Linked DNA regions of Anolis sagrei. The protein of the gene in region 1 interacts with the protein of each later gene in a pairwise test. Links are inferred from orthologs where the notes say so. Each region holds a gene or a part of one and is shown in the gene's direction. Other genes may lie near its edges. The genes, in order: SPG21, PRPS1, protein NOXP20 and CTPS2.

Region 1 (7,956 bases):
CAGGTTTATTATTATTATTATTATTATTATTATTATTATTATTATTACTGACATTAACACTTAAAATAAATAATATTGTAAATTATAATTAAGTGTTTATAAATACCCAAGGGGGTGCCATAATAATAAAAATAATAAATGTATTTTTATACCCTGCCTTCATCTACCCAAAGGGACTCGAACGGCTTACATGGGGCCAAGTCCAACAATTAAAACATAACACATTAAAATGCCTATCAACAACATAATAATAAAGCAATATAACAAAATAAAAGCAACAACATTAAGCAGCATATAAAGCGAACATTCAAACCAACAACCAACTGCAAAGTTCAATGTCTTGTAATGGGGTGGGCGGACTGGGGTCACAATATTAAATAAATAGTTTTAAATAAATAAATAAAAAATAAATATTAGAGGATAGAGCTAATGAGTGAGGTGCAGATAGCATATAGCAGTGATAAATATAAGGACGATTTATCATTAAAGATTTGGATGAGAGATTTTTGTACATTAATAAATGGAGATTTTTGTACATTAAAAAATAAAGACGTCCCCTAAAAATAATGTATCTTTTGGAGCAAAAATGAATATAATACCCAGCCTTATTTTCATGGAAGAGGCACGGAAGCTGGCAATATTGGTTCATCTGGGAGAACAATATATATATATATATATATATATATATATATATATAATACTAATATAATGCTCAATCAACTACCAAACTCACACATTTTGTATTTTCTCTGTTTGTTTGCTTTGTTCTGTTAGAAATGTAATATAATTGACTGGTTGCCCTGACACGAGAAATAAATTAAATTAAATATAATGCTATGGTTATAATATATTATATTATATATACATATACTATTGATAATATTATAAAATAACAGAATATAAGACTAATAATAATACAGTACAATATATAATAATAGTCATATAACAATACCAATATATTAAATGCAACACTGCTGATAATATATATAATGATAATATTGTGTTATTATTGCAATGTTATTGATTGGGAACCGCTTTAAGCCTCCGTAGGGAGAGATAAAGCAGAATATAAATCAATCAATCAATCATCAGATCCATAACATGGAAGTTAACACAGGGTTAACACAGGGCTGTTAAAAACCTAAACAAGGGCCTTGAAAAGCTCGAAACCAGGAGTGAGGCCTAGCGCGCGGCTGAAGCCTCGGTCTCCGTTAGGGAGTTACCTCTTCGCGCCGAAGGGAGGGACGCGCTGAGGAGCCGTGCCGCCGCCGCGCAGGAACCGCAGGCCGCCATCTTGGCGCCGTCGTTCTTCCCACCTCAGAAGACCGAGACCCGGATGTAGCGTCACAGCCTCCGCGAAGAACGGCGGTGGGACCACAACTCCCGGCAGCCCCCGCGCCGAAGAGGCCGCGCTGATCAACCTCGAAGCGTACGATTTGCCTTCTGGGAAGGAGAGGCCAATGCACGAGAGGCGTGTGCGCAGGCGCAACTCACTATCTAGGAAGTCAGAGCTCTTCTTACGCGTTTCCCCTCTAGGTGGCGGGCCATCCTAGGGTCTATCTATTTTCCTATCTATCTATCAGTGCGATGCTACTCTGCTGCTGAGTATGCATGCTCAGTGTGGAACACATCTCACCACACTAAAACAGTAGATGTGGCTCTTAATGAGACATGCCGCATTATCATGGGATGTCTGCGCCCTACACCACTGGAGAAATTAGACTGCTTAGCCGGTATTGCACCACCTGACATCCGCCGGGAAGTAGCAGCCAATAGTGAAAGGACCAAGGCAGAGACATCTCCAGCTCATCCCCTGTTTGGGTATCAGCCAGCACGTCAACGACTTAAATCTAGAAATAGTTTTCTAAGATCTACAGAGACACTCGCTGGAACACCCCAGCAAGCGAGAGTCCAAAAGTGGCAGGCCCAAACCCAGCACCTCATTTCATGGGTGATACCAGATGAGAGACTCCCCCCTGGGCACACAGAGGACATGGCGACTTGGAAGGCGCTGAACAGACTGCGCTCTGGCACCACGAGATGCAGAGCCAATCTTAAGAAATGGGGCTACAGGGTGGAATCCTCGGCATGCGAGTGCGGAGAAGAACAAACTACTGACCACCTGCTGCAATGCACCCTGAGCCCTGGCACATGCACAATGGAGGACCTTCTTGCGGCAACACCAGAGGCACTCCAAGTGGCCAGATACTGGTCAAAGGACATTTAAACAACTACCAAATTTGCAAAATCTGTGTGGTTTTTTTCCTTTTTTCCCCTTTTCTTTTTAATCTCTGTGTTTGTTTTGCTCTGTTAGAATTGTAATACAATGGTTGCTGATGACACGATAAATAAATAAATATCAGTGCTTCTCAACCTGGGGTCCCCAGATGTTTTTGGCCTACAACTCCCAGAAATCCTAGCCGGTTTACCAGCTGTTGGGATTTCTGGGAGTTGAAGGCCAAAAACATCTGGGGACCCCAGGCTGAGAAGCACTGACTGATCATGGAACAACAGGCTGGTTCAATGTTGGGAAAGGCATATAGCGAGGTTGTATACACTCCCCCAACATATTTAACTTGCATGCAGAACACATCATGCGACCTGTGGGGCTTGACGAATGCAAGGCTGGGGTGAAAATTGCTGGAAGAAACATTAACAACCTCAGATATGCAGATGACACCACTCTGATGGCCGAAAGCAAGGAGGAGCTGAGGAGCCTTCTAATCAAGGTGAAAGAAGAAAGCGCAAAAGCTGGGTTGCAGCTCAACATAAAAAAGCCCCAAGATTATGGCAACAAGAATGATTGACAATTGGGAAATAGAGGGAGAAAACGTGGAGGCCGTGACAGACTTCATATTTCTAGGTGCAAAGATTACTGCAGACACAGACGGCAGCCAGGAAATCAGGTGACACTTACTTCTTGGGAGGAGAGCAATGTTCAATCTCGATAAAATAGTGAAGAGTTGAGACATTACACTGGCAACGAAGATCCACAGAGTTAAAGCAATGGTATTCCCCGTAGACACCTACAGATGTGAGAGCTGGATCTTAGGGAAGGCAGAGCGAAGGAAGAGAGATGCTTTCAAACTGTGGTGCTGGAGGAAAGTTCTGAGAGTGCCTTGGACTGCGAGAAGATCCAACCAGTCCATCCTCCAGGAAATAAAGCCCGACTACTCATTGGAGGGAAGGATAGTACAGACAAAGTTGAAGGACTTTAGCCACATTATGAGAAGAAAGGAAGGCTTTAGAGAAGACAATAATGCTGGGGAAAATGGAAGGAAAAGGGAAGAGGGGCCGACCAAGGGCAAGATGGATGGATGGGATCTTTGACATGACTGGATTGACCTTGAAGGAGCTGGGGGTGGTGACGGCTAACAGTGAGCTCTGGCATGGGCTGGTCCATGAGGTCACGAAGAGTCGGAAACCACTGAACGAATGAACAACATTTATTTCATAAAATTGATTTGGATTGCTTGGGGGCCCTCCCAACTCGAGGAATATCTATCTATTTGATTATTTATCTATTCTGCCTATCTTCCCATCTTATCTATCAGCTATTATAGGATGGACTGGATGGTCTTTGATGTGTCTTCCAACGCTAGGAATCTAGAGTTGTGCTATGCTAATAATATAATATATATAGATATAATCTTGATAATATTTTTTATTTATTTATCATATTAGGAGCAAACCATGGGTACAGTTGCAATGCATTTAAAAAACAAGTTTTTTTAAAAAAAAAACTTGGCATATTAAATGTTCTTTGACCAGTAGCTGGCCACTTGGAGTGCCTCTGATGTTCCTGCAAGAAGATTCTCCATTGTGCATGTGGCAGGGTTTCTGTGGTTTGCTCTTCTCCACACTCGCATGTTGTGGACTCCAGTTTGTGGCCCTATTTCTTAAGGTTGGCCCTGCATCTCGTGGTGCCAGAGTGCAGTCTGTTCAACGACTTTCAGCTCGGTTGTTGTGGTTTTTTTCCGGCTATATGGCCTTGTTCTAGAGGCATTCTCTCCTGACGTTTCGCCTGCATCTATGGCAAGCATCCTCAGAGGTAGCCACCTCACCTCACTACCTCTGAGGATGCTTGCCCTAGACACAGGCGAAACGTCAGGAGAGAATGCCTCTAGAACAGGGGTCCCCAAACCTTTTAAACAGAGGGCCAGGTCACAGTCCCTCAAACTGTTGGAGGGCCAGATTATAATTTGAAAAAAAAAACATGAATGAATGCACACTGCACATATCTTAATTGTAGTGCAAAAATACTTTAAAATGAAGAACAAATATTAACTTATTAGTATTTCAATGGGAAGGGTGGGCCTGCTTTTGGATGATGAGATAGGATTGTTGTTGTTGTGTGCTTTCAAGTCGTTTCAGACTTAGGTTGACCCAGAGCGAGGGCCGGGTAAATGACCTTGGAGGGCCGGATCCGGCCCCCGGGCCTTAGTTTGAGGACCCCTGCTCTAGAACATGGCCATATAGCCTGAAAAAACCTACAATCCAGTGATTCCAGCCACGAAAGTCTTCAACAACAGACTTTCAGCTCGTCCACTCTTCTGTGAGCTCAGGGGGGAGTTTCCTCATTTGGTATCAGCCATGGATTGAGGTTCCAGGCTTTAGCCTGCCACTTTTGGACTCTCGCTTACTGAGATGTTCCTGTGAGTATCTCTGTACATCTTTGTACTATTTCTTGATTTAAGGCGTTGGAGTGCTGGACTGGGAATGTCACTGCGTCAGGAGAGAATGTTTCTGGAACATGGCCAGAGAGTCCAGAAAACTCACAACAACCCAGCTTCTGCTGGTGGTGAAATCCCCTTTAAACTTCAAGGCTTTGTGCGCATGCGTGGCTGGAGCCTCCACGTGATTCTTCCCTGCGTCCCCTTCCCGCCCCTTTATGGGGAGCCCCGCCCACTCGGCTTTGTGACGTCCGCTGATTGGCTGGCGCCGCACACCTTTCGTCTCCGCCTACTTGGAGAGACCAGGAAGTAGGGACTGGAAGATACCATTCGAGCGGGAAAAGGGGAGGGACGGTGTGTTTGTTAAGGTGGTTTCGTCCACCCGCCCGTCTCGAAACGGAGGAAAACCTGGTAAGGATTGAAAAAGAGAGGAAGGGAGTGCCTTTGTTCAGGTTTTTAGGCAGTGGGTAAGCGAGAGACCCCAAATCATGCCTTTGGGGGAGCCTAAAGAAGAATGGTAGATCCCAGCTTGCCTCCCTTAGAGGAATGGCATGCCCCTGATAGGGAAGCTGGGCTGAGTCAGGTGCCTTGTTTGTTTGTTTGTCTGTCCCTGATCTTCACCTTCTTCCTGTTGGTTGTCATTATTTGCATTATGCATTTCATAAAATACATCATGTGTATATATATTCTGTAGGTTGTATGGATTTTTGCATATATTTTTATTGATCTTGAGTTATATGAAACCTGGAACTTAGGTATATTTCAGTGATGCTAATGATTGATATAGTATTTTAATGGGGTATTTCCCCCTGCATTTTATAATCTGGTTTCTGTGTACCTTTTATGTATTATATATTATACAATATAGTACAATATATTATATCATAATATAATATAATAATTGTATATTACATATTGCATGTAATATTACTAATAAGGTTGTACAATTATTGGTAATATTACAATATAATAATATATTGTACTAATATTGTGGTATGCTAATCCTCACTTTGAGACACTTTGAGAGTGTTTGAGGACCGGGACATCCGTAGGGATACCAAGGTGTTTGTTTATAAAGCTATTGTCCTCCCAACTCTGCTATACGCCTGCGAGACGTGGACTGTCTACAGATGTTACACGCAACTCCTAGAATGATTCAACCAGCATTGCCTCCAAAAAATCCTGCAAATCTCTTGGGAAGACAAGCGGACAAATGTCAGCGTGCTAGAAGAAGCAAAGACCACCAGCATTGAAGCGATGGTCCTCTGCCATTAACTCTGCTGGACTGGCCACGTTGTCCGGATGCCCGGCCACCTTCTCCCAAAGCAGTTGGTCTACTCTCAAGAATGGAAAACGAAATGTTGGAGGACAGGAAAAGAGATTTAAAGATGGGCTCAAAGCCAACCTTGAAAACTCTGGCATAGACACTGAGAACTGGGAAGCCCTGGCACTTGAGCTCTCCAGCTGGAGGTCAGCTGTGACTAGCAGTGCTGTAGAATTTGAAGAGGCACGAACGGAGGGTGAAAGAGAGAAACATGCCAAGAGGAAGGCGTATCAGGCCAACCCCGACTGGGACCGCCTTCCACTTGGAAACCAATGCCCTCACTGTGGGAGAACATGCAGAGCAAGAATAGGGCTCCACAGTCACCTACAGACCCATCGCTAGGACACCAATCTTGGAAGACAATCCTACTCGGATAACAAGAGATCGCCTAAGTAAGTAAATATGCTAATAATGCATAATGGTGTAACATTAGAAACTGTTGACCATTTCTGTTCCCTTGGCAGCCACCTCTCCATAAAAGTCAACATTGACACTGCTATACAGCACCACCTGAGCTCTGTGAGTACAGCATTCTTCCAAATAAAGCAGGTGCTTGTTTATAAAGCTATACGCCTGCAAAACGACTGTCTACAGACGCCACACTTACTTAGGCGATCGCTTGTAGCCCGAGGATGATGGTTCTCCAAGTGTAGTGTCTTGCCGGTGAGTCCGTAGGTGGCTGTTGAGCCCTATTCATGATCCGCATGTTTTCCCATAGTGAGGACATCAGTTTCTGTGTGGAAGGCGGTCCCGGTCAGGGGCCGCCTCTTGGCAGATTTCTCCCTTTCATCATTCATTCGTGCCTCTTCGAATTCTGCAGCACTGCTGGTTGCAGCTGATCTACAATTAGAGCGCTCAAGGACCAGGGCTTCCCAATTCTTGGTGTCTATGCCACAGTTTATAAAGTTGTCTTTAAGCCCATCTTTCAATCTCTTTTCCTGTCCACCAACTTTATGTTTCCCATTCTTGAGTTGGGAGTAGAATAACTGCTTTGGGAGACGGTGATTGTGCATTCGGACAATATGGCACTAAGTCCGGTGGAGTTGATGGCGTAGGAGTATCACTTCAGTGCTGGTGGTCTTTGCTTCTTCCAGCATGCTGATATTTGTCCACCTGTCTTCCCAAGCGATTTGGAGGCAACACTGATGGAATCGTTCCAGGAGTAGAAAGTGATGCCTGTAGACAGTCCACGTTTCGTAGGCATATAGCATATAGCGTATTTTGTTCCATAGTGTTATTGCAAATGGAAAGAGACCATGAGACGCTCACCGCTTTGGTAGTGAGATATACAGTTTTCTTGGGGACTTTGCAAAGAATGTAAATAATGTCCCATAATCCTGAAGTGGAGCCTTTGGGCTGGATTGTCAAGGATCCAAACCCTTTACTTTGTCTCCCATTTTTTGTGCAGCTTTCTTCAAGTGGAATTGTACAAGGCGCACAGCTGCAGTTTGCCTTATATATAATGTAATGCATGACTGGTTTCATAGGAATTGTTTGCCCTGCCAGTGTATTTCTTGCTTTCTGTTCTTCCTGCCACTTTGTACGTAACAGACACAAACGCCGTGTTTTCAAAATCACTTCCCCTTTCTAAACATTTCTCTCAAACCGAGCCAAAGGAGCACAGTTCGAAAGAGAAGATTAATCCACTGCTCAGAGCGGCGAGCAAGCTTTGCCTTGAATGAATCCATTGTACGTCTGAGTACCTTTTGTGTTTTTAGCTGAAACGCATGTTCTTTTAGACAGAAACGTCTCCCTTTATGTTTCAGGTGTTCCTCACTGTGGGCTCGCGACCATCATGGGAGAGATTAAAATCTCTCCGGACTATAACTGGTTCAGAAGTACGGTTCCTCTCAAAAAGGTAAGTTCAACCTCTAAATATAGGCTACATCAGGTCAATAGATGCAAGGAAGCTTCTGGCTGGGTGGAGTGGCCATCTAGTTGGGTGGAGTGGCCCAGATC
Region 2 (7,420 bases), on another chromosome or scaffold:
TGTAATGCAGGCCCATAGCAAGGATTTTGATTTGATGGGGGGGGGGGGGGGAGGCTGAGTCTGAGTGAGAGAGGATCTATCCTAGCAAACCTTTTATATCATCCCAATAGCCCCATGCATATGGGATATATTGAGCATGGTGATCAGATCATGATATGAATAAACATAACAGTTTAAGTAATATACCCTTAAGGCCTTCTCAAGGACCACCTTGAGAATTTGGAGAGAGGGGGGGGCTGAAGCACCTCAAGCCCCTCCCCCCGGTGTAATATATAATATATAATTAATATTATATTGTATTATTATTAGTATTATATTGTATTAGGTAAAGGTTTTCCCCTGACATTAAGTCCAGGCATGTCCGACTCTGGGGGGTGGTGCTGATCTCCATTTCTAAGCCGAAGAGCCAGCATTGTCCATAGACACTTCCAGGGTCATGTGGCTGCATGGAGCGGCATTACCTTCCCATCAGAGCAATACCTATTGATCTACTCACATTTGCATGTTTTCGAACTGCTAGGTTGGCAGAAGCTGGGGCCGCTTCCCGGATTCGAACCTGCGACCTTTTGGTCCGCAAGTTCGGCAGCTCAGCGTTTTAACCCACTGCCCCACTGGGGGCTCCATATATTGTACTACATTATAATATTGTCAATATTATAGATATATACCAGGGGTCCTCAAACTAAGGCCCGACGGCTGAATATGGCCCTTCAAGGTCATTTACCCGGCCCTCACTCAGGGTCAACCGAAGTCTGAAATTGCTTGAAAGCACACAACAACAACAACAATCCTATCTCATCAGCAAAAAGCAGCCCCACACTTCCCATTGAAATACTAACAAGTTTATATTTGTTAAAATTGTTCTTAATTTTAATTATTGCACAGTTTAAAGTGTTTTTTGTACTACAAATAATATATGTGCAGTGTGGGTCATTTACCTGGCTCTCGCTCAGGGTCAACCTAAGTCTGAAACTGCTTGAAAGCACACAACCACAACAACAACAACAACCCTATCTCAATCCTATCCCATCAGCCAAAAGCAGCCCCACACTTCCCATTGAAATCCTAACAAGTTTATATTTGTTAAAATTGTTCTTCATTTTAATTATTGCACTGTTTAAAGTGTTTTTTGCACTACAAATAAGATATGTGCAGTGTGCATAGGAATTCATTCATGCTTTTTTCAAATTATAATCCAGCCCTCCAACAGTTTGAGGGACTGTGACCTGGCCCTCTGTTTAAAAAGTTTGAGGACCCCTGGTATATACAATATATTGTATTATTAGCATGGCACAATATTATTATTATTATTATTATTATTATTATTATTATTAACTTTATTTGTACCCCGCTAGCATCTCCCGAAGGACCCGATGCGGCTTACAAAGGCCAAGGCCTCAATAAAACAACAATATAACAAATACACATAAACCAAAAGCAAATCAAAACATTAAGTAATAACAGTAAGCAGTAAAAACAGTACACCGCAACACAATAAAAACTAAGCCGGGCCAAGTGTGATGGGTACAGATTAAAAGTGCTGATATTAGCTTATATAGTACTATATTGTGGCTGGAATGGCCTTTTAACTTTTAGGATGTGGGGAATCATACAATCAAAGAGTTGGAAGAGACTTCATGGGCCATCTAGTCCAACCCCCACCAAGAAGCAGGAATATTGCATTCAAATCACCCCTGACAGATGGCCAGCCAGCCTCTGTTTAAAAGCTTCCAAAGAAGGAGCCTCCACCACACTCCGGGGCAGAGTGTTCCACTGCTGAACAGCTCTCACAGTCAGGAAGTTCTTCCTCACGTTCAGATGGAATCTCCTCTCTTGTAGTTTGAAGCCATTGTTTCAAGTCCTAGTCTCCAGGGCAGCAGTAAACTAGCTTGCTCCTTCCTCCCTGTGGCTTCCTCTCACATATTTATACATGGCTATCATATCTCCTCTCAGCCTTCTCTTCTTCAGGCTAAACATTTATTTATTTATTTATTTATTTCAGGTACTTTTACCCCGCGGCTTACAAAAGGCATAATTCGATGCCTATACAAAAATTATACATAGTGTACAAAAACCATAGTTAAAACAATTATCACAGTTAAAACAATCATAACAATCAATATACATCACATCATATAAAAACTATTCACATGCTCAGCGTTCGTCTTTCAGAGTTCCAAATTCCATTCCATTAGTCATTTCCTGGCCATTCTCAAAGTCCTTTCTTTATCTGCACATGTTCGGCTCCTTAAGCCGCACCTCATAGGGCTTGTTCTCCAGACCCTTGATCATTTTAGTCGCCCTCCTCTGGGCACATTCCAGCTTGTCAATATCTCAATAGGAGCATAGTGTCTAGATCTAGGGAAGTAATGCTATCCCTCTATTCTGTTTTGGTTAGACCACATCTGGAATATTGTGTCCAATTCTGGGCACCACAATTCAAGAGAGATATTGACAAGCTGGAATGTGTCCAGAGGAGAGCGACTAAAATGATAAAAGGTCTGGAGAACAAGCCCTATGAGGAGCGGCTTAAGGAGCTGAGCATGTTTAGCCTGAAGAAGAGAAGGCTGAGAGGAGATATGATAGCCATGTATAAATGTGTGAGAGGAAGCCACAGGGAGGAGGGAGCAAGCTTGTTTTCTGCTTCCCTGGAGACTAGGACGCGGAACAATGGCTTCAAACTACAAGAAACGAGATTCCATCTGAACATGAGGAAGAACTTCCTGACTGTGAGAGCCGTTCAGCAGTGGAACTCTCTGCCCCGGAGTGTGCAGTTTCAAGACCTGACTCATTGCTGCCTGGGGGAATCCTTTGTTGGGAGGTGTTAGCTGGCCCTCATTGATTCTTGTCTGGAATGAGGAATATTATGGATTTCAGTAAGGCCTTCGACAAGGTCCCCCGTGACCTTCTGGCAAACAAACTAGTCCAATGTGGGCTAGGCAAAACTATGGTTAGGTGGATCTGTAATTGGTTAAATGGACGAACCCAGAGGGTGATTCTTCCCAATGAAGAACTTCCTGACTGTGAGAGCCGTTCAGCAGTGGAACTCTCTGCCCCAGAGTGTGGTGGAGGCTCTTCTGTGGAAGCTTTTAAACAGAGGCTGGATGGCCATCTGTCAGGGGTGATTTGAATGCAATATTCCTGTTTCTTGGCAGGGGGTTGGACTGGATGGCCTATGAGGTCTCTTCCAACTCTTTGATTCTATGATTCTATGATCTCTCTTGAATTGTGGTGACCAGAATTGGACACAATATTGTCCAGAGGAATCTCTGAGCTTGACCCTGCCTCTAGTACTTATTGAGGACTAGAAACTTAATGAAACAAAAGACTTGTGCAGTCCAGGGATGAAACCCAACGTACTTCACCAAACTACAACTCCCAGGACCTCGCAGCATGAAGTCATGCCAAGGTGCACTAATGCAAAGTGGAAAATACCATCCGTAAAGATCAAAGTTGACAACATTACGCTTATAATCATAGAATCACAGAGTTGGAAGAGACCTCATGGGCCATCCAGTCCAACCCCATTCTGCCAAGAAGCAGGAAAATTGCATTCAAAACACCCCCGACAGATGGCCATCCAGCCTCTGTTTAAAAGTCTCCAAAGAAGGAGCCTCCACCACACTCCGGGGCAGAGAGTTCCACTGCTGAACAGCTCTCAAAGTCAGGAAGTTCTTCCTCGTGTTCAGATGGAATCTCCTCTCTTATAGTTTGAAGCCAGTGTTCCGTGTCCTAGTCTCCAAGGAAGCAGAAAACAAGCTTGCTCCCTCCTCCCTGTGGCTTCCTCCCACATATTTATACATGGCTATCATATCTCCTCTTAGCCTTCTCTTCTTCAGCTCCTTAATCCGCTCCTCATAGGGCTTGTTCTCCAGACCTGTGATCATTTTAGTCGCTCTCCTCTGGACACATTCCAGCTTGTCAATATCTCTCTTGAATTGTGGTGCCCAGAACTGGACACAATATTGTCCAAAAGGAATCTCTGAGCTTGACCCTGCCTCTAGTACTCATTCAGGACTAGAAACTTGATAAAACAAAAGACTTGTGCAGTCCAGGGATGAAACCCAATGTACTTCACCAAACTACAACTCCCAGGACCTCGCAGCATGAAGTCATGCCAAGGTGCACTAATGCCACTTTCAAGAGTCTTGATCCACTTCGCGCAGGCGCACATCGCACCCTCCGCCGCCAACCCCTCCCCTCCCTCCTCCAGATCTCGCCTCCTGTATTACCGCGATAAAGCCTTCACGAGGAGCCCGCTCCCATTGGCTGCCGGGGCCCGCTCTGCTCCTCGGAGGAACCAATCGGAAACGCTTGCCGGCATGCGCCTGCGCGCTGGGTTGCTCCTCGCGCGCGGCAGGTGGGCGTGGCCGAGGCGATAAAAAGGGAAGCGCCAAGATGGCGTCGTCGTTGTTGTCGTCGCGGTAGGAGCGCTCTCCCCGGCCTCCCGCCCTCCGCTCTCGTTCCCCGCGTTCTTCCCGCCAGAGCCGCCAAGAGGGCGGAAGGCCGGCGGCGGCTGGATCCCCCGCGGGCAGGCGAGGCCGAGGCGGCGGGCCCCGAAGGCCGGGAGCGGCGCAGGGAGGCCGAGGAGGCGGCGGCCTCTCCCTCCTCCTCCTCCTCCTCGCCCAGCTCGGCGCCGCCCCCTCCCCACCCCTCCTTGGCCGGCAGGATGCCCAACATCAAGATCTTCAGCGGCAGCTCCCACCAGGACCTCTCGCAGAAGATCGCCGACCGCCTCGGCCTCGAGCTCGGGAAGGTCGTCACCAAGAAGTTCTCCAACCAGGAGACATGGTGAGTCAGGGGGGAAGGGGCTCAGGCCTGGCTTCCCCCGGAAGTCCCGCCCTCCCAAGCCCCTTCCTGGCTGTTCAACAGTGGAACTCTCTGCCTTGGAGAGTAGTGGAAGCTTTGAAACAGAGGCTGGATGGGCATCTGTTGGGGTGGCTTTGAGTGTGCTTTTCCTGCATGAGGGCAGAAAAGGAGTTGGGCTGGATTTATTTTATTTATTTATTTACTTTACTTTACTTGTTTACTTGTTTCTCAGCCCAACAGGCGACTCAACGCGGTTTACAACAGGGATAAAAATCAACCAACGATATACAATTTAAAACCATAAGAGCATAGTATACAATATTGACACAACAATAAACAAACACAATGCATCTCATAACTAGAGTCGTGATCCAATTCGTCGTCCATATTTCCATTCCTGTAATCATCACATTCATTGCACTGTTTATCCGAATGCCTGTTCAATCATCCAAGTTTTTAATCTTCTTCGAAACACCATTAGCGAGGGGGCTGATCTAACCTCCATAGGAAGGGCCCCTGGAGTCTCTTCCAGTTATGTTATTACTGTTGTAGAGACTGGATGGCCATTTGTTGGGGGTGGAGGCTTTGAGTGTGCTTTTCTTGCATGAAGGTAGAAAGAAGGGGGTTGGATTACATGGTCTCTTGGGTCTTCTACAGCTATGTCATTATTATTATTATTGATACTGCATGGCCATCTGTTTGGGGGGCTTTGAATGTGCTTTTCCTGTATGAAGGCAGAAAGAAGGGGGTTGGATTGCATGGTCCCTTGGGTCTTCTACAGCTATGTCATTATTATTATTATTGATACTGCATGGCCATCTGTTTGGGGGGCTTTGAATGTGCTTTTCCTGTATGAAGGCAGAAAGGGAGTTGGGCTGAATGGTCCCTTGGGTCTTCTCCAGTTATGTCATTATTATTATTATTATTATTATTATTATTGATACTGGATGGACATCTGTTTGGGGGTCTTTGAATGTGCTTTTCCTGTATGAAGGCAGAAAGAATGGGGTTAGACTAGATGGCCCCTGGAGTCTCTTCCAGCCATGTTGACCTCACCTCTGAGGATGCTTGCCATAGATGCAGGCGAAACGTCAGGAGAAATGCCTTTAGAACATGGCCATATAGCCCGAAAAAAACCACAAGAACTGCATGTTGTTGTTCTTGTTATTGAGACTGAGTGGCCATCTGTAGGCAGGGCTTTGAGTGTGCTTTTCTTGCATGAGGGCAGAAAGAAGGGGGTTGGATTGCATGGTCCCTTGGTTCCTCTACAGCTATGTCATTATTATTATTATTATTATTATTATTGATACTGCATGGCCATCTGTTTGGGGGGCTTTGAATGTGCTTTTCCTGTATGAAGGCAGAAAGAAGGGGGTGGACTGGATGGCCACTGGAGTCTCTTCCAGCTAAGTTGTTGTTATTATTGAGACTGAGTGGCCATCTGTTGGCAGGGCTTTGAGTGTGCTTTTCCTGTATGAAGGCAGAAAGAAGGGGGTGGACTGGATGGCCACTGGAGTCTCTTCCAGCTAAGTTGTTGTTATTATTGAGACTGAGTGGCCATCTGTTGGCAGGGCTTTGAGTGTGCTTTTCTGGCACTAGGGACTCTGGGCAGACTCACAGCAAACACCATTCGGTGCCATCATAATAATAAGTACAATCAACAAATTCATTAAAACAAAACATTAAATAAACAGTTTTTAAAACATGTCAATTAAAATCCAGGTCTAGAACAATTCATTGTCACTTCAAAATTGCTTATGTTCGTACAAGTTGCTGTTCAATGGTCAAATGCAAGGTCCCACAGCCAAGTCTTGAGTTTCCTTCTAAAGGACAGGAGGGAGGTGGCCAGTCTGATGTCTTTAGGGAGGGAATCACAATTGCGGCGGCAGTGGGATCAAGAGCAGGGCCTCTCCAGATGATCTTAAACTTCATGATGATTCGTAGTAGGAGATATGTTTGGACATGTAGTCTAGGCCAGAACCTTTTAGAGCTTTAAAGGTTAAAACCAGCACTTTGAATTGTGTTCAGAAGCAGATCAGCAACCAGTGGAGGTGCTGTAACAGAGGAATTGTCTGCTCCCTGTACCTCGCTACGGTCAGCAACCTGGCTGCTGACTGTTGGACTAATTGAAGCTTCCAGGCAGCCCCACATCAGAATTGGCTGCCTGCAAGGATGTTGCCCAGGGGATGCTCGGATGTTTGATGTTTTACCATCCTTGTGGGAGGCATCTCTCATGTCCCAGCATGGGGAGCTGGAGCTGACAGAGGGAGCTCATCCACGCTCTCCCCAGATTCGAACCTGCAACCTGTCAGTCTTCAGTCCTGCCAGCGCAAGGGTTTAACCCATTGCACCACTGGGGGCTCCATGTTGGACTGAATAAATAATGATTATGATGTTATCTTTATTGATATTCTGCCCCATCTCCGTGGAGCAGCGGTTTTCAACCTGTAGGTCCCCAAGGGGTGTTGGCCTACAACTCCCAGAAATCCCAGCCAGTTTACCAGCTGTTAGGATTTCTAGGAGTTGAAGGCCAAAATATCTGGGGACCCACAGATTGAGAACCACTGCCCTAGAGGGACTCGGGATGCCTTACAATGCAAACAGAACAACA
Region 3 (7,625 bases), on another chromosome or scaffold:
GAGGCCGTGGACCATATTTTAGTTCTTGGGGACCACTGGTGGTTCACGGACTGCAAGTTGGGAACCACTGCCTTAAAACAAAGGGAACATGCATCCTGAAGACTTCCATTCTACGTTATCAGTTGGGATGGGAGGAGAAAGGTCAGAGAATGAGAAAAAAACAGAACAACAACAGACATGCAGGAATGAGGGGAAAATGATACCCTCAGCCTAGCTTAATGCTATCTTTCAGCTTCTCATTGAGGACTGCAAACTTAAAAAAAAACCTTGTTGCAGGATATCCTGCAGCACATTTTGGTATAGTTTTTCTTTTTTAAAAAAATTGAAATTTTTATTGAAATTTTATCATGTGAAATAAAGAAAATGAAAAAAGAAATCTAAAGATAGTATTTCCTTTACAAAGTGGGAGAACATTTGCTTGTATAGAAAGTAGGAAAAAGAGAGAAAAGAGAAAAGAAAAAGAGGAAACAAAGAGAAAAAGAGAAAAAAATGAAAAATTTGATACTCTAAAAACTGTAAAAAAGAAAAAAAAGAAAAAGATATTTGTTGACTTCTTTCTTGCTTTTGATGGTCATTACGTTTATTTGGAATTACTATTATGTTATAATTGTTCTGCTTCCCCTACGTCTTCTTTTTTCCTTAAGATTGACTGTCTTCAGCAGATGAGATCTATTTTCGTCTGTTTTAAGTAGTCTTTTACAAGGTCCCAGTTGGTCTCTTTCTTAGGTAGGCCTTGGTTAGATGAAAGCCAATAGGCAAGTCTGTCCATATTCATAATCTCTAGCACTTTGGTCAGCCAGTCTTCTTCTTTTTGTCTCCAGTTCCTGGCGTACACTATTCTGGCAGCAGTGACCAAGAAATTAAACAAAATCTCTTTATTCTTGTCTTTTTATATATCTAGCATGCCATATAAAAATATTCAGGCTCTCTTTGAATTTTTATTTTTAAAATCTTTTGTATGGCTTCATTTATGTCTTTCCAAAACTGTTGCGCTTTCGGGCAGGTCCACCAGGAATGGAAAAAAGTTCCCGTATGTTGTTCCCATTTCCAACATTTGTTGGATGCGTTTTTATAACATTTAGAGATTTTATATGGTGTAATGTACCACCTATATAGCATTTTAAGCCAATTTTCTTTCAAATCAAAAGAATAGGTATATTTAAGTCTTTGATTCCAGGCTTTTCCCCAATGTTTTAAGTCAATTTGGTGTCTAATGTTTTGGTCCGATTTCACCATACATTCTTTTATTTGCTCTTTTTCTGTTGTCCACTCTAGTAGTTTTTTATATATTTTAGTAATCAGTTTATTTTGTGTCTTCATTATATTGTCCCAAAAGCCATTTTTATCTGCAAAACCCAAGAATTTCAGACTTGAACAGTGTAGGGTTGAATTCCAACAAATGGTTCAGCATAATGTAGTTTCCCACTCAGAACTACTATGCTATGCTGAGCCAAATAGAATTGCTGCCCTTAAATCCCATTAAATGTCAACTAGACCCAGAACAATGTCAGCTCAATCCAGATTGCCATCTCCTGTGCTTCTGAATTTCCTTTTACACTGGAAATAGACAAAGATTTAAAACTTCTGACAGCCCCAGAACAACCAGTAGCCATCTGGAAATCTGTGCTATACACCAAAACTCTGCAACCCTTCAGCATGCCATACTGCTTATTAATTCCTGCTGCTGCTCTTGTTGTCTGCCATAGTCAGAAGACGGCACGGTTATCTGGGATTCTTTATTGTAGCCCATTTATTTTATTACTTGAAACCTCTTTTGCTGCCAAAGTGGACCAACTCTAATTGAACATAATATCTGAGCACTGAACTCTACTTTTTCTGGCGACATTTTTCAATCCACTCAGTTTTGACTCCCTCACGTTGCTGTAGTGTTAATGAGGCATCACTGCCAGTACAGAAGTGGCATAATGCCAGTGTAGCCCTCTACTCTGATGCTGTACAATTGCCTGTCCAGTTTTGCCCAGCATGCAGCCAGACATACAATGAGAACACAATGCTTTCAATCAGTCAGAAAGGTAAACCCACATTTGTTATGCTGCGTTTGTGTCCCGTCCTTCCCTCTCAAACGCTTTTGTCCGTGCACATGCTTTCTCAACCATGCTATTTCCCAGCCTTACAGTATCTTATGTGGTATTACAGTCTTTGGTGGCCAGTTATTATTGAAATCATGAGCATTTCAGATTGTGATCACAGAACCTTGAAGCGCTATAAGAAGTTCTTCTCATCCATATTCCATGCACTTTATTGCTTCTTGTTCTAATTGAATATCACTGAAGCATAAAAATACAAATAGTTTGCTCCGAACTAATATCCATCTATTTTAGCCCAGTGGCAGTTTCTCATAAAATGCTTATTTATTTTTTTGATACATAAACTGCACTAAATTAACTCCATTTTTCTGATTACAATAAAGGGGATGATCCAACTAAATTTAGATATAACAATGTTCAAGGCAACAAGGCAATTCTCAACGTATTTATTCAGTTCTGTTCCTAGTACGACCATAGGATTGCTCACAAAGAGCCTGCCACTGATATAGGTTCTTCTATAGGAAAAGCTGGGTGGACAGAAATAATTATGTATTAAGTAACCAAAGCAAATGTGTAAAATGCCAAATGCCTTGAAAGATAAATCTTAAAATAAAAGTGCATAATCTTACTGAATAGATCAATATATGTCTGAAAATCTATGTAGTTAATGTTGACATGTGACGTGTTAATTTTAGGCCACTCTCTGTTTGCAGTGGTTTCAAAACACCAACTATAGATTATATATAAAAATCATATATAAGGTGTTGTCGAAGTCTTTCATGGCCAGAATCACTGAGTTGCTGTGAGTTTTCCGGACTGCATGGCCATGTTCCAGAAGCATTCTGTCCTGACATTTCACCCACATCTATGGCAGTCTTCCTGCCTGGGTGAAGTCAACCAGAAAAGTCAGCCATAGCAGAGCACCTGATGAACCACCCTCAACACAGCATATTATTTGAGAACACAGAAATGCTGAACCACTCTAACAACCACCATGTCAGACTACACAGAGAAGCCATGTGGACAATTTCAACAGAAAGGAGGAAATCATGAATATGAACAAAATCTGGCTACCAGCATGTAAAAAAAATCTAAAATCAGGACAGTAAATAAAGAGCAACACTCAAGCAACAGGGTTATTCCAGACAAGAAACAAATCAGTGCAAGCTAGCACCTCCCAACAAAGGATTCCCCCAGGCAGGAAGCAGCCAGGCTTTGAAACTGCAAGGCAACTCAATGCCAATTGCAACATTCACACTTGCCTCAAACAGACAAGAGTTCTTTCTCCCACCTTGGACATTCCACAGATATATAAACCTCACTTGCCTATTTTCCAACAGACTTCATAACCTCTGAGGATGCCTGCCATAGATGTGGGCGACATGCCAGGTGAGAATACTTCTGGAACATGGCCATACATCCCGGAATCATAGAATCAATACATATGTAATTTCTAGACTTGTGCTCGGATCTGTTTTTCCTTTGGTACCTTCAGAAGCACGTACAATCATAGAATCATAGAGTTGGAAGAGGGCTCATGGGCCATCCAGTCCAACCCCCTGCCAAGAAGCAGGAAAATTGCATTCAAAGCACCCCCGACAGATGACCACCCAGCCTCTGTTTAAAAGCTTCCAAAGAAGGAGCCTCCACCACACTCTGGGGTGAAGAGTTCCACTGCTGAAGGCTCTCACAGTCAGGAAGTTCTTCCTAATGTTCTTTCTTGTAGTTTGAAGCCATTGTTCCACATCCTAGTCTCCAGGGCAGCAGAAAATAAGCTTGCTCCCTCCTCTCTATGACTTCCTCTCACGTATTTATACATGGCTATCATCTCTCCTCTCAGCCTTCTCTTCTTCGGGCTAAACATGCCCAGCTCTTTAAGCTGCTTCTCATAGGGCTTGTTCTCCAGACCCTTAATCATTTTAGTCGCCCTCCTCTGGACACATTCCAGCTTGTCAATATCTCTCTTCAATTGTGGTGCCCAGAATTGGCACAATATTCCAGATGTGGTCTAACCAAGGCAGAATAGAGGGGTAGCATGACTTCCCTGGATCTAGACACTAAACCCCTATTGATCCAGGCCAAAATCCCATTGTCTTTTTTTGCCACCGCATCACACTGTTGGCTCATGTTTAACTTGTTGTCCACGAGGATCCCAAGATCTTTTTCACATGTACTGCTCTCGAGCCATGCGTCCCCCATTGTGAAAACTAACAGCAAGTCATATATAAGGTTTATCACATTATTAATATAATTGTAATATTTAACATTTGCAATATTTGTTTGAATGTTCAAAGCACTTCACATACGTTATCTTAGGGGAATATTTCTAAAAATCCAAATCAGTATTATTACGATACTGCAGACGGGGAACAGGATCAACTGAAGTTGGAAGGGAACTGAAATCTCTTGGCAGGTTTTCCACTGCTGCTACTGGCCCAGCGATGAACACTGTGTTTTTCTTGTTTTGTTTTTTTAAGTAATTAATGTATGCAGAATTGTTTCATATAAACCATATATGTTCTGCTGCAGGTCAAGGACTAACTGCAGTTAAAGAAAAAGCAGCCACCCTCAGAATTCATGTTCCTTCCTCTGGGCCATCAGAAGACCCACATCCCAGCACAGCTGAAAACCTTGTTGCAAGTGGTAAGCGAGGCATTATCCTTTCTATTTGTTAATAGAAATATGAAATGGCTAGTCTTGTGTCAGTGCAAATCTTTAATCTGTGATCATGCTCTGACATTACTAGCATCTGGGATTCCGGGGTTCTTTTTTCCTTTCAGACACGGAAGAGACCCTGCCACAAAACTCCCAAGAAGATGCAGTTTCACCTTCATCTCCTTCTGGGTCACGCGGAATGTTTTCAACCATTTCTAGTGCTGTACAGAATACGGTAAGCAATTCCCGTGACAAAAAGAGCATTGAGGAAGGGCAGTCCAGAAAAAGCAAAGAATACACATAAAAGAAAAGAAAGCAAATAAATAAATAATTGAAAACACAGTTGAAAAGTATGAAGTGCTTTATCTGCTAACGGGCAAAACCAATGCAGTCATCATTTAGAAAATATACTCCAGAATAATTATCACCGGTATATGGAGAAGTCATTTTTTTTCTTTGCAGGACATATCAAACTGCCTCCACTTGCCTTGTAGACAGTTTTGGACTTTTGTATCAAAAGCTGAAAGCAGCTGGACCGCAGCTTCTCATCCCGAGTAGCAGATGCTACAGCTTTGTTGTGATAGATGATGTGTTGAAATGCTCCAGGCACATACAGGGATTCATAAACTCCCAAACCATATTGACAGCAAGACAAGCTGTCAACATTTGTGAATAATTCAGATTTACTGCATGGTGGCAAGACTGTGGCGTGACCATGTCCAGAGCCTTAGGGCAGCAAAATGGGTTATTGCACACACTCCCTGCGTGCCTATAGGATTCCTGCAAAAAAGGACAGTTGTGTGTGAGCAGTCCATCTTCTTGGTGCAATGCAGTAAACTAAAATCAAAGAGCGCATCCACAGACCTAGCTGTGTACATTCCATGGAATATTATGGCTTATTTGCTGCTTGTTGTTTTTGTTTTGCTTACTTTTTGCCATCTGCTGTGATTTAACAAAAGAAGAAAGCATGGTAGTATATACAGTATTTAGTCCCAAATTTATCCCCTCAGAATTGTATCTTTTCAGTATCCAGTTGAGAAACGCCACCACATTTGCAGTAGAAGTTCTGCATTTTACGCAAAGTTTGTAGAGATGTGTGTTCTGGGATGTACCTTCAGTTTACAATAAATGTTTTTACAAGTGCAATGGGTGCCTCACACTAACTAAGCTGCTTTCTTAGATAACCACTGTTCACTTGTGCTTTGGAAGGAATATTAATTCACACTGTTTGAGAAGATTAACCTCAATTGCTGAATATATTGCCAAAAAATTCAAAGGGAACCCCAGGTTGAAAAATACCTGGCTTAATACAAAATACTAAGATTATTGTATATTTGTGTTGTTGACACTGTCTTGTTTTTGCTTTTGTCCCTTTCAATTGATGTATTTCCTTTTCACTAACTTATTAATTATTTTGCCAATAATCTTTTGGAAAAATGGAAATCTCTAGAACTATTTGGATATTTTGTGATCTTTATTAAGGCATGACCTTGTTAGAAGTCAACCTTTTGAAAAATGATGCCATAACCTCTTGGTAAAAAGCATGACCTGTTAGAGTCATAACCTTTTGGGAAAATGTCATTCACCAGCATTCATTCAAGGCAACTAGGTTTCTCAGTATTCCAGTGTACTCTCTCTCCCTCCCTCTCCCCCCCCCCCTCTCTCTCTCTCTCTCTCTCTCTATATATATATATATATATATATATATATATCAATCAGAGCTTCAGAAGTGTGGCTTTTAGTTGCCTAAAAAAATCTACTCTCCCTCAAAACATATTTGACAAAAATAAGCAGACTTCTTTAAAAGTAACATTGTTGATTTACTCACATACATGTACTTTGCATATCAATCCAGTTACAAATAGGATTTGAAGTAGTTTTTCTGTGTAGTTAACATGCATTCATGCCGGCCCCATGACCTTGAAGGTGTCTACGGACAACGGCGGCTCTTCGGCTTTGAAATGGAGATGAGCACCACACCCCAGAGTCAGACATGACTGGACTTAATGTCAGGGGACAACCTTTACCTAACACAGGGCATCATTCTGAGAATCAATAGTCCATAATCAAAAGCATCTCTCTGTTTTGAGAGTCTAATAGAGTCTTGTTTCTAGTTTGAAAGTCCAATGGGGTCTCTAAGCATACTGTTTCTACTGAAGTCTAAACTGTATTGTTCCTAAAATAGAGTCTGAGTCCTGAGCAAGCCCAGTTCTGATCACACGGTCTGCAGCCCCTCCCACAACAAAGAGTTAAAGTAAAATTGCCTACCAATACACATATATACAATATAATAAGCAATTATATATATATAAAACAAACAACTAGAGGAGGCTTGAGAAGGTTGCGATTTCCAACATAATCTGTATTTGAGCTGATGAGCGAGCCATAAGTCTTACATAAGTCTTATTTGGAGTTGTACAAAAAATCAAGAACACCTGGAATCCAAAGCAAATTGTTTCCAACTATTCAAATTGATGTGATTTTCTTACAATTTAGCTTTGTGATGCACGTTCATAATAACACTATTCTCTGAATTGCCCAGGGCAAAAGTGTCTTAACTGGTGGCCTTGGTGCTTTGGAGTTCATTGGCAAGAAAACCATGAATGTCCTTGCAGAAAATGATCCTGGATTTAAGAAAACAAAAATACTGATGGAGCGAACCGTTTCTTTATCTCAGGTAAAAATAGCCAATTCTGATAATATGATAATCAAAACTGTTGGAAGTAATACAACAGGTCTGCATAGCTGACTATGATGATAATTTTCCAGAGCTTCCGAGTTTTGCTGTGATCCTTATAGGCTAAAGCTAAGGCTGCCAGACTCATTTTCATGGATTTGGCAGCCGAATCAACCAAATACATTACACCAAAATGATATTATGCACAACCCTATTATATATTTCTGTCAAGACATTCTCCTGTA
Region 4 (7,321 bases), on another chromosome or scaffold:
TTTGCACTATTTTTGCACAATTAAATATTATGTGCAGCTTAAAGGCACCAGATCTCTCATGATATTGAAAGCTAAGCATGGACAACCCAATCTCTACTTGGACGGGAGACTGCCAATAAATACTAGGTGGTGTAGGTGAAAGGGGAAGAAACTGACAAAATCACCTCTGAATATTTGTTGCCAAAGAAAACCCTAAGGAATTAATGGGCTCATCATAAGTCAATAAGTGACTTGTCAGCACACACATAAAACAATTTTGTGCTTTGTTGGCCCAACTGACAGAAGACTAGAAGAGATTACAGGAGTGCTTTGTTTCTTCTGCACCACTATTAATCAGATAAAGAACTTTTTTTGACAAGCATAGCCTTGTGGACTTCTCTTATTGTAGCTAGCTAAAGAAATGTATTCACCAGAGAACTCAACTATAAGATCAAAGACTTCCTCTGAAACTGTTCTTGACTTCTTATCTCTGAACCCAAAACTACAGAAAACTTTATTGCAATTAAATGCAGAACCTGTATAAATTCAGCAGTAATAGAATCTCACCATACTTTGCCAACCTGCTTCCACAGGAGCTTGCCTGTTTGGATTTATTGGAGGCCTTACTCTTGATGGCCTGTTTGCTAAACTATGGTATATGTTTACTACAGGTGAGGTAATATTTCTATGATAGCACTTCTTCTGAGTTCCTTCAAAATTTCTTGGCTATTTTCCAAACTCTTGCAAGTGTTAATCTATTGGTATTACATAAGATCACATCTGACTATAATATGGTATTAATAAATTATTATTACTTGGTTACTTAATTTGTATTTCTATATATAGTAAAGTGTCATAAGCTACTGCTTGGAGCACATGGAATGTAAATACCTTAAACAAAAAGCAAGCATTTAAAAGTAGTAAGAAACTGGAGTCCCTACTGATTCCACATCTTTATATCTTCTGTACCTAAAATGCCAGGCATTTGAGTTTCACATTTATTAATTTTCAATGGTACTTAACTTTCCCAAAACTTGTAATACATTTGAGCATGTAATTAATGTTTCTGTTCACACTGATGAGCAAAATAGTCTTATAATGATCATGATGAATCAGTGTTCCCTTTTCTGTAGTTGGCTCACTGTATCCATGGATTCTCTAGTCATGTGTTCACCACCCATGTCTTGAATATTTTAAAAAAGACATTACAAAAAGCAAATCTTACATTTTGCCATAAAAGGGCCACCATTTTACTATGCCGTTGTATTTAAAGGGACTTGAGAACCCATGGATTTTGGGTCCCTTCAAATGTTGTTTGTGTCCTGGAACCAAACCCCAGGGATATCAAGGGCCCACTTTTATAATAAAGCTAAGTTAGGATTTCCTTAGTAGTTAACCTCAGATGTTAAGAAAAAGTCTGGAGTTTTGCAATTGCCTAAGCAACCTGCTCAGAGACCTTTGGACATCATATGAGCCAAAGGAGCATGGCACAGCCAATCCTTTTTTCCTCCAGATCTGGAAGTGTTTTCAAGGAGGCAGCTACTGTGTTATCAGCATCTGAGCAGATGTGCTCCTCAACTTCTTTTGATGCTGGAAGACCTTGATAGGCACATTCCTTGGCCATGTGCACATAGAAACACTTTGTGCTTGAACATACCAGGACACTACTTCCATGCCTTTCCCAGTAGGCGCATGCTGTCCACCCTGCTTTCTCTACAGAAAGTTGTGGAGTTGGAGTGGTACCTGTGGGCATTCTGACCACTGTACAGAGAGATCAAAATGAGCAGAACCTGAGACTCATATTTTTTTTAGAAATCTAGCAAGATTCACTGACAATTCTAAATCCTTTCATGCGCCTTTCTTACTTCTTTGTGTGTGTGTGTGTGTAGTTTTTCACTTTCAAGGGAGTCCTGTGCCCCAAATCCCAAAGCTGGCTGTACTTAACACTTAACAGTTAGGAGGAAAGGGAGCCTCTTAGCCCAATTATTCCATACAAAGAATAAACAATAAACATCATTTTAACCCTTCCCAGGTAATTTAATTAGGAACTGGAAAAGAACTATGAGGAATCCCCAAAAGCAGCACAGTGTTGCCAACCATATTCTAAGGAGCTTTCTGGCATGAGGACAGACAGCTATGTCCTTTCCCTTCTTTTCTAGGTTCTGCTGCAGAGTAGGATTTGGCATTCTTCATTTGCTCGTGCATTAAAACACTCTTGAGTGCATCTGCACTGTCACGTTAGCGTAGTATGAAATCACTTTAACTACCAAGGCTCAATGCTATGAAGTCCTGGGAATTACAGTTTGGTGAGGCGGAGAAAGCAGCAAACCTTGCAATAACGATAACTCCTGGGATTCTACAGCATGGCAGTTTAAATAGTACCAAACTGCATTAATGTTACAGTGTAGATGCACTCTTAGTCCCTGTTCCAAAAGAATGGCAGGCCTGGCTTTGGTTGGTAAAATGATAGCACTTTATTTTTGTTTTGCGGCCTTCTTATTTTGATTATTGTTTTCGACAAGGTCAAATGTAAGATACTACACTTTGGCAGAAAAAATGGAATGCAAAGATACTGGATGGGTGATGCCTGGCTCAACAACAGTCAAGGTGAAAAAGATCTTGGAGTCTTCCTGGACAACAAGTTGAACATGAGCCAACAGTGTGATGCAGCAGCTAAAAACACCAAATGGATTTTAGGCTGCATCAAAAGGAGTATAGTGTCTAGATCAGTGATTCTCAATATGTGGGTCCCCAGGTGTTTTGGCCTCCCAGAAATCCTAGTCAGTTTACTATCTGTTAGGATTTCTGGGAGTTGAAGACCAAAACATCTGGGGACCCACAGGTTGAGAACCATTGGTCTAGATTGAGGGAAGTCATGGTACCTTCTATTCTGCTTTGGATAGACTTCACCTGGAATACTGTATCCAATTCTGGGCACCACCATTCAAAAGAGATATTGACAAGCTGGAAGGTGTCCAGAGGAGGCGACTAAAATGATAAAAGTTCTGGAGACCTATGAGGAGTGTCTTAAAGAACTGGGTATGTTCAGCCTGCAGAAGAAAAGGTTGAGAGGAGACAATAGCCATGTGTAAATATGTGAAAGGGTGTCATAAGAGGGTGCAGGCCTGTTTTCTGCTGCCCTTGAAAGTGGAACTAGGGTTCAAATTACAGAAAATGAGATTCCACCTGAACATTAGGCAGAACTTCCTTGCTGTATATGCTGTTCAACAGTGGAACTCTCTGCCTCAGAATGAGGTGGGAACTCCTTCCTTGGAAACCTTTAAACAGAGACTGGATGACCATCTGTCAGGGATATTTTGTGCTTTTCCTGTATGGAAGGGGGTTGTACTAGATGGCCCACATGGTCTCTTCCTACTCTATGATTCTGTTGTGAAAATGAGTGCGATATCCTTGGCTGTTGTGTTTTGTATTACACTGTGGGTTTTTTCTTCTTTTTGCAAGTTATCACAACTATAGCACAGCTTTTGTACAATAGTGAATTATTCTTCCTCCTTCCCTTTGTGTCTGTAGGCCTCTACAATGATATTTTAGATCGTGCACGTCAAAGGCATGTCATTTTATGCGGCCAGTAGGGCTTGCAATGCAACACAAGTTACATTTGTGCCTTACATGGGCAAACTTCGGCCCTCCAGGTGTTTTGGACTCCAACTCCCACAATTCCTAACAGCCTAGCGGCTGTTAGGAATTGTGGGAGTTGAAGTCCAAAACACCTGGAGGGCCGAAGTTTGCTCATGCGTGAGCTAGAGGCGTCCTTGCTGTGTTTCGTGGTGTTCCTGCAAAACGACATATAGGTTGGATGGTGGTATTAAGGACCACGATGGGACGAGGAAGAGGAGGAGGCGGCGGGACGGAATGGCCTCAGGCGCCGGAGCCCGCTTCCCTCGCGGCCGCGTGGAGCGGAGCCTCCTCTCCCCTCCCTCCTTCCTTCCCTCGCCCAGCCGCGAAGACAAACCCGCCGGGCTCTTACCTCAGGACCTCCGCGGGCTCCGTCCGAGGCCAAGGCCGCCTCCGCCTCCCCGCTGCGCCTCCCTCCCTCTGGCAGGTCCTGAGGAGCCTCTCCGCCGCGCGCCGCCATACTGTGACGGCAGGAGCCAAAACAAGCCGGCCCGCACCGGAAGCCCTCCTCCGCCGCCACATTCCCCGCCTCCTCTTCTTCCCTCTAGCCAATCACGGGGCGCGCTTTCTCTTGCCACGTGACGCCAAAGGACCAACCGGCTCACACCTCAGCCATTGAGAACTACTCCCCCCAGCATCCCTTGCGGCAGAAGCACATGGGGACACCTCTCTCTCTCTCTGTATGTACCTCCCATGCCCTTTCACTTGAGAGACACCCTATGGGGAAGGTTGCAGCCTATTAAGGGCTGTACGCTTTTCTCGGCGCGCGGAGGCGGCAGGCAAATGCTTCGCGCTGCAAGGGGCCCGCTGCTCTTAAGCCGCTCTGTCAGGAAAGTACAGGAGTTCAAGCCAGGGTGAGTCTCTTTCCGGAGAGGTTTCTCATCGTAGCTTGTATTCTCTCTGCTTTCGATGAGATCTCTGCATATTCACCTCTACTTTTTGGTGTGTTGTTCCAGACAAGAGCTTTATCTAAAGCCGTGGTTCCCAACCTTTTTTTGACCAGGGACCACTCTCCAACATTAGTACCTTACTTTATATACTTAGGCGATCCCTCGTTGTCCGAGTAGGATAATCCTCCAGGGTGGGTCCGTAGACGACTGTGGAGCCCTATTCTTGACCTGCATCTTCTCCCACAGTGAGGGCATCGGTTTCCAGGTGGGAAGCGGTCCTGGTCGGGGTTGGTTTGACGCACCTTCCTCTTGGCACATTTCTGTCTTTCGCCATCCATTTGTGCCTCTTCAAATTCTTCAGCACTACTGGTCACAGCTGACCTCCAGGTGGAGCGCTCAAGGGCCAGGGCTTTCCAGTTCTCTGTGTCTGTGCCAGTTTTTAAGGTTGGCTTTGAGCCCATCTTTAAATCTCTTTTTCTGTCCTCCAACATTCCGTTTTCTGTTCTTGAGTTCGGAGTAGAGCAACTGCTTTAGGAGACGGTGGTTGGGCATTCGGACATGTTGATTGCAGAGGACCATCACTTCAGTGCTGGTGGTCTTTGCTTCTTCCAGCATGCTGATGTTTTCCACTTGTCTTCCCAAGAGATTTGCAGGATTTTCCAGAGGCAGCACTGATGGAATCATTCCCAGAGTTGCATGTGACGTCTGTAGACAGTCCACATTTCACAGGCATATAGCAGGGTTGGGAGGACAATAGCTTTATAAACAAGCACCTTGGTATCCCTACGGATGTCCCGGTCCTCAAACACTCTCTGCTTCGTTCGGAAAAAAGCTGCACTCACAGAGCTCAGGCGGTGTTGTATTTCAGTGTCAATGTTGACTTTTTTGGAGAGGTGGCTGCCAAGGTAGCAGAAATGATCAACATTTCCTAATGTTACACCATTAAGCTGTATTTCTGGCATTGGAGAAGGATTGGCTGGTGACTGCTGGAAAACTTCGGTTTTCTCGATGTTCAATGACAGGCCGAGCTTCTCGTATGCTTCTGCGAAGGTGTTTAGAGTGGTTTGTAGGTAGACTTCTGGATGTGCACAGACAATGTCATCAGCATATTGAAGTTCTATAACAGATGTTGTTGTAACCTTAGTTTTGGCTTTCAGTCTGCTGAGGTTAAATAGCTTACCATCTGTCTGATATGTGATTTCAACACCGGTGGGAAGCTTCCTGTCAACAAGATGAAGTATCATAGCGATGAAGATGGAAAATAAAGTTGGGGCAATAACACATCCCTGTTTGACATCTGATTCCACCTTAAATGGGCCACTCTGGGAGCCATTGTTGTCCAAAATCGTTGTCATCATGGAGGAGCCGCAGGATGTTCACAAATTTGTTAGGGCACTCGATTTTTGGAGGATGGTCCAGACATTAGTACCAAAAGGGTTACGAATCAGTTTTTGGTCAACTTTTCGTTTGGTTATTTAGGGTGCTGATTCAGAAAATTGCATTGGATAGACCACATCAGCTCTAGTTTCTGATACAGAGCATATGCCATCCAGTAGTGGCCATCTGCTTGCCCACAGAATTATAGAATCATAGTTGGAAGAGACCTTGTGGGCCACCCTGTCCAACCCCCCGCCAAGAAGCAGGAAAATTACATTCAAAGTACTTTGAATTGCATTTCAAAGAAAACAGTACTTAATAAGCCTTGGCACTATAAGAGGGTTTCGTGAGACCAGTCTCGCTCTCATTGCAACAGTATAGTAATGGTGAGGCCACGGACCATATTTTAATTCTTGTGGACCACTGGTGGTCTATGGACTACAGATTGGGAACCATTGCCTTAACAGATGCATCTACACTGTCAACTTAATGCACTTTTACACCATTTGAACTGCCATGGCTCAGTCTCTGGAATCCTGAGATTTGTAGTTTGGTGAAGTACCACCACTCTTTGGCAGGGAAAGCTAAAGATCTTGTGGAACTACAACTCCTAGGATTCAAGAGCACCGAGTCATGGCATTGGGGTCAAAATGTATTCATTTGACATCCCAAATCCCCATTCCTCTGTTGTCATCCCGATATGTATTAAGCAATACATTCTATTGGCTTCTAGTACTCGTACATTCAGGGCAAAGAACGCAAGTTGTTTTTAAATTTCTTGTTAAGTAAAGCACCTCTTAGATCTTTCAGACATATTTGTCATTGCCTTCTAAAAAAAGTTCATGCCCAGTTTTATACGGATGTTTGTGGCACAACTCCACTACATTTGCTGAATTGTCTGCCTTAAATTATGAAGCATTTCCCCATTGTACAAAATACCGGAAATTGAGCACATAATGCATACTGTTACCATTGAAAGTAAATATATTGTAATTATAATGTGTGCCTTCAAGTCACTTGTTGAATTCCAGTGACCCCCCCCCCCCCCCCCGGCTTTTCTAACCTCGGACGGGACTCAAGTCATTTCAACCTGCTTCTAGAAACAAATTCATCTGGTGGGAGTTAACTGAACCATACATTTGACAGGATCCATACTACAAAAGGACCTAAGCTAAGAGAACTGGGACAACTATGTCCAACATTATTCATGATTCAGGGTACAGAACTATTTGGTTCTGTCTTACCTGCCAATAAATAAGGTTGAGTTGGGTTTACACCAATTATTAAACCAAATAAGCTGTTTTACTCCTGGCTGAAGGTGCTGAAAAGCATCCCTTTGCTTTTATGGTACGGGAAAAGTACCAGATGTTCCAAGTGCCTTTGAACTAATTCAAGTAGAGAAAAGGTCTCTATGTAAATATTTTTATATTTCCTAGTAG

Evidence for each region.
Region 2: the proteins of SPG21 (region 1) and PRPS1 interact in binary tests that used the Homo sapiens proteins (3 or more experiments, as listed by UniProt). The two-hybrid records come from large-scale screens. The link is inferred for Anolis sagrei from reciprocal best matches to the Homo sapiens genes SPG21 and PRPS1.
Region 3: the proteins of SPG21 (region 1) and protein NOXP20 interact in binary tests that used the Homo sapiens proteins (3 or more experiments, as listed by UniProt). The two-hybrid records come from large-scale screens. The link is inferred for Anolis sagrei from reciprocal best matches to the Homo sapiens genes SPG21 and FAM114A1.
Region 4: the proteins of SPG21 (region 1) and CTPS2 interact in binary tests that used the Homo sapiens proteins (3 or more experiments, as listed by UniProt). The two-hybrid records come from large-scale screens. The link is inferred for Anolis sagrei from reciprocal best matches to the Homo sapiens genes SPG21 and CTPS2.

The regions. Positions count from the first base shown.
Region 1 is NC_090029.1:18,381,863-18,389,818, reverse strand, and holds the start of SPG21 (maspardin), read left to right. Parts: upstream 1-4,943; 5' UTR 4,944-5,084; intron 5,085-5,129; exon of another isoform or gene 5,130-5,256; intron 5,257-7,579; exon of another isoform or gene 7,580-7,686; intron 7,687-7,763; 5' UTR 7,764-7,792; coding exon 7,793-7,855; intron 7,856-7,956. Other genes in the region: CLPX (ATP-dependent Clp protease ATP-binding subunit clpX-like, mitochondrial), read right to left, coding at 1,224-1,293. UniProt on the Homo sapiens protein: May play a role as a negative regulatory factor in CD4-dependent T-cell activation.
Region 2 is NC_090030.1:20,036,977-20,044,396, forward strand, and holds the start of PRPS1 (ribose-phosphate pyrophosphokinase 1), read left to right. Parts: upstream 1-4,363; 5' UTR 4,364-4,669; coding exon 4,670-4,791; intron 4,792-7,420. UniProt on the Homo sapiens protein: Catalyzes the synthesis of phosphoribosylpyrophosphate (PRPP) that is essential for nucleotide synthesis.
Region 3 is NC_090025.1:119,061,690-119,069,314, forward strand, and holds the start of protein NOXP20, read left to right. Parts: upstream 1-4,581; 5' UTR 4,582-4,691; intron 4,692-4,828; 5' UTR 4,829-4,902; coding exon 4,903-4,938; intron 4,939-7,245; coding exon 7,246-7,380; intron 7,381-7,625. UniProt on the Homo sapiens protein: May play a role in neuronal cell development.
Region 4 is NC_090023.1:90,167,942-90,175,262, forward strand, and holds the start of CTPS2 (CTP synthase 2), read left to right. Parts: upstream 1-4,255; 5' UTR 4,256-4,308; coding exon 4,309-4,469; intron 4,470-7,321. Other genes in the region: TXLNG (gamma-taxilin), read right to left, coding at 3,968-4,075. UniProt on the Homo sapiens protein: Catalyzes the ATP-dependent amination of UTP to CTP with either L-glutamine or ammonia as the source of nitrogen. Constitutes the rate-limiting enzyme in the synthesis of cytosine nucleotides.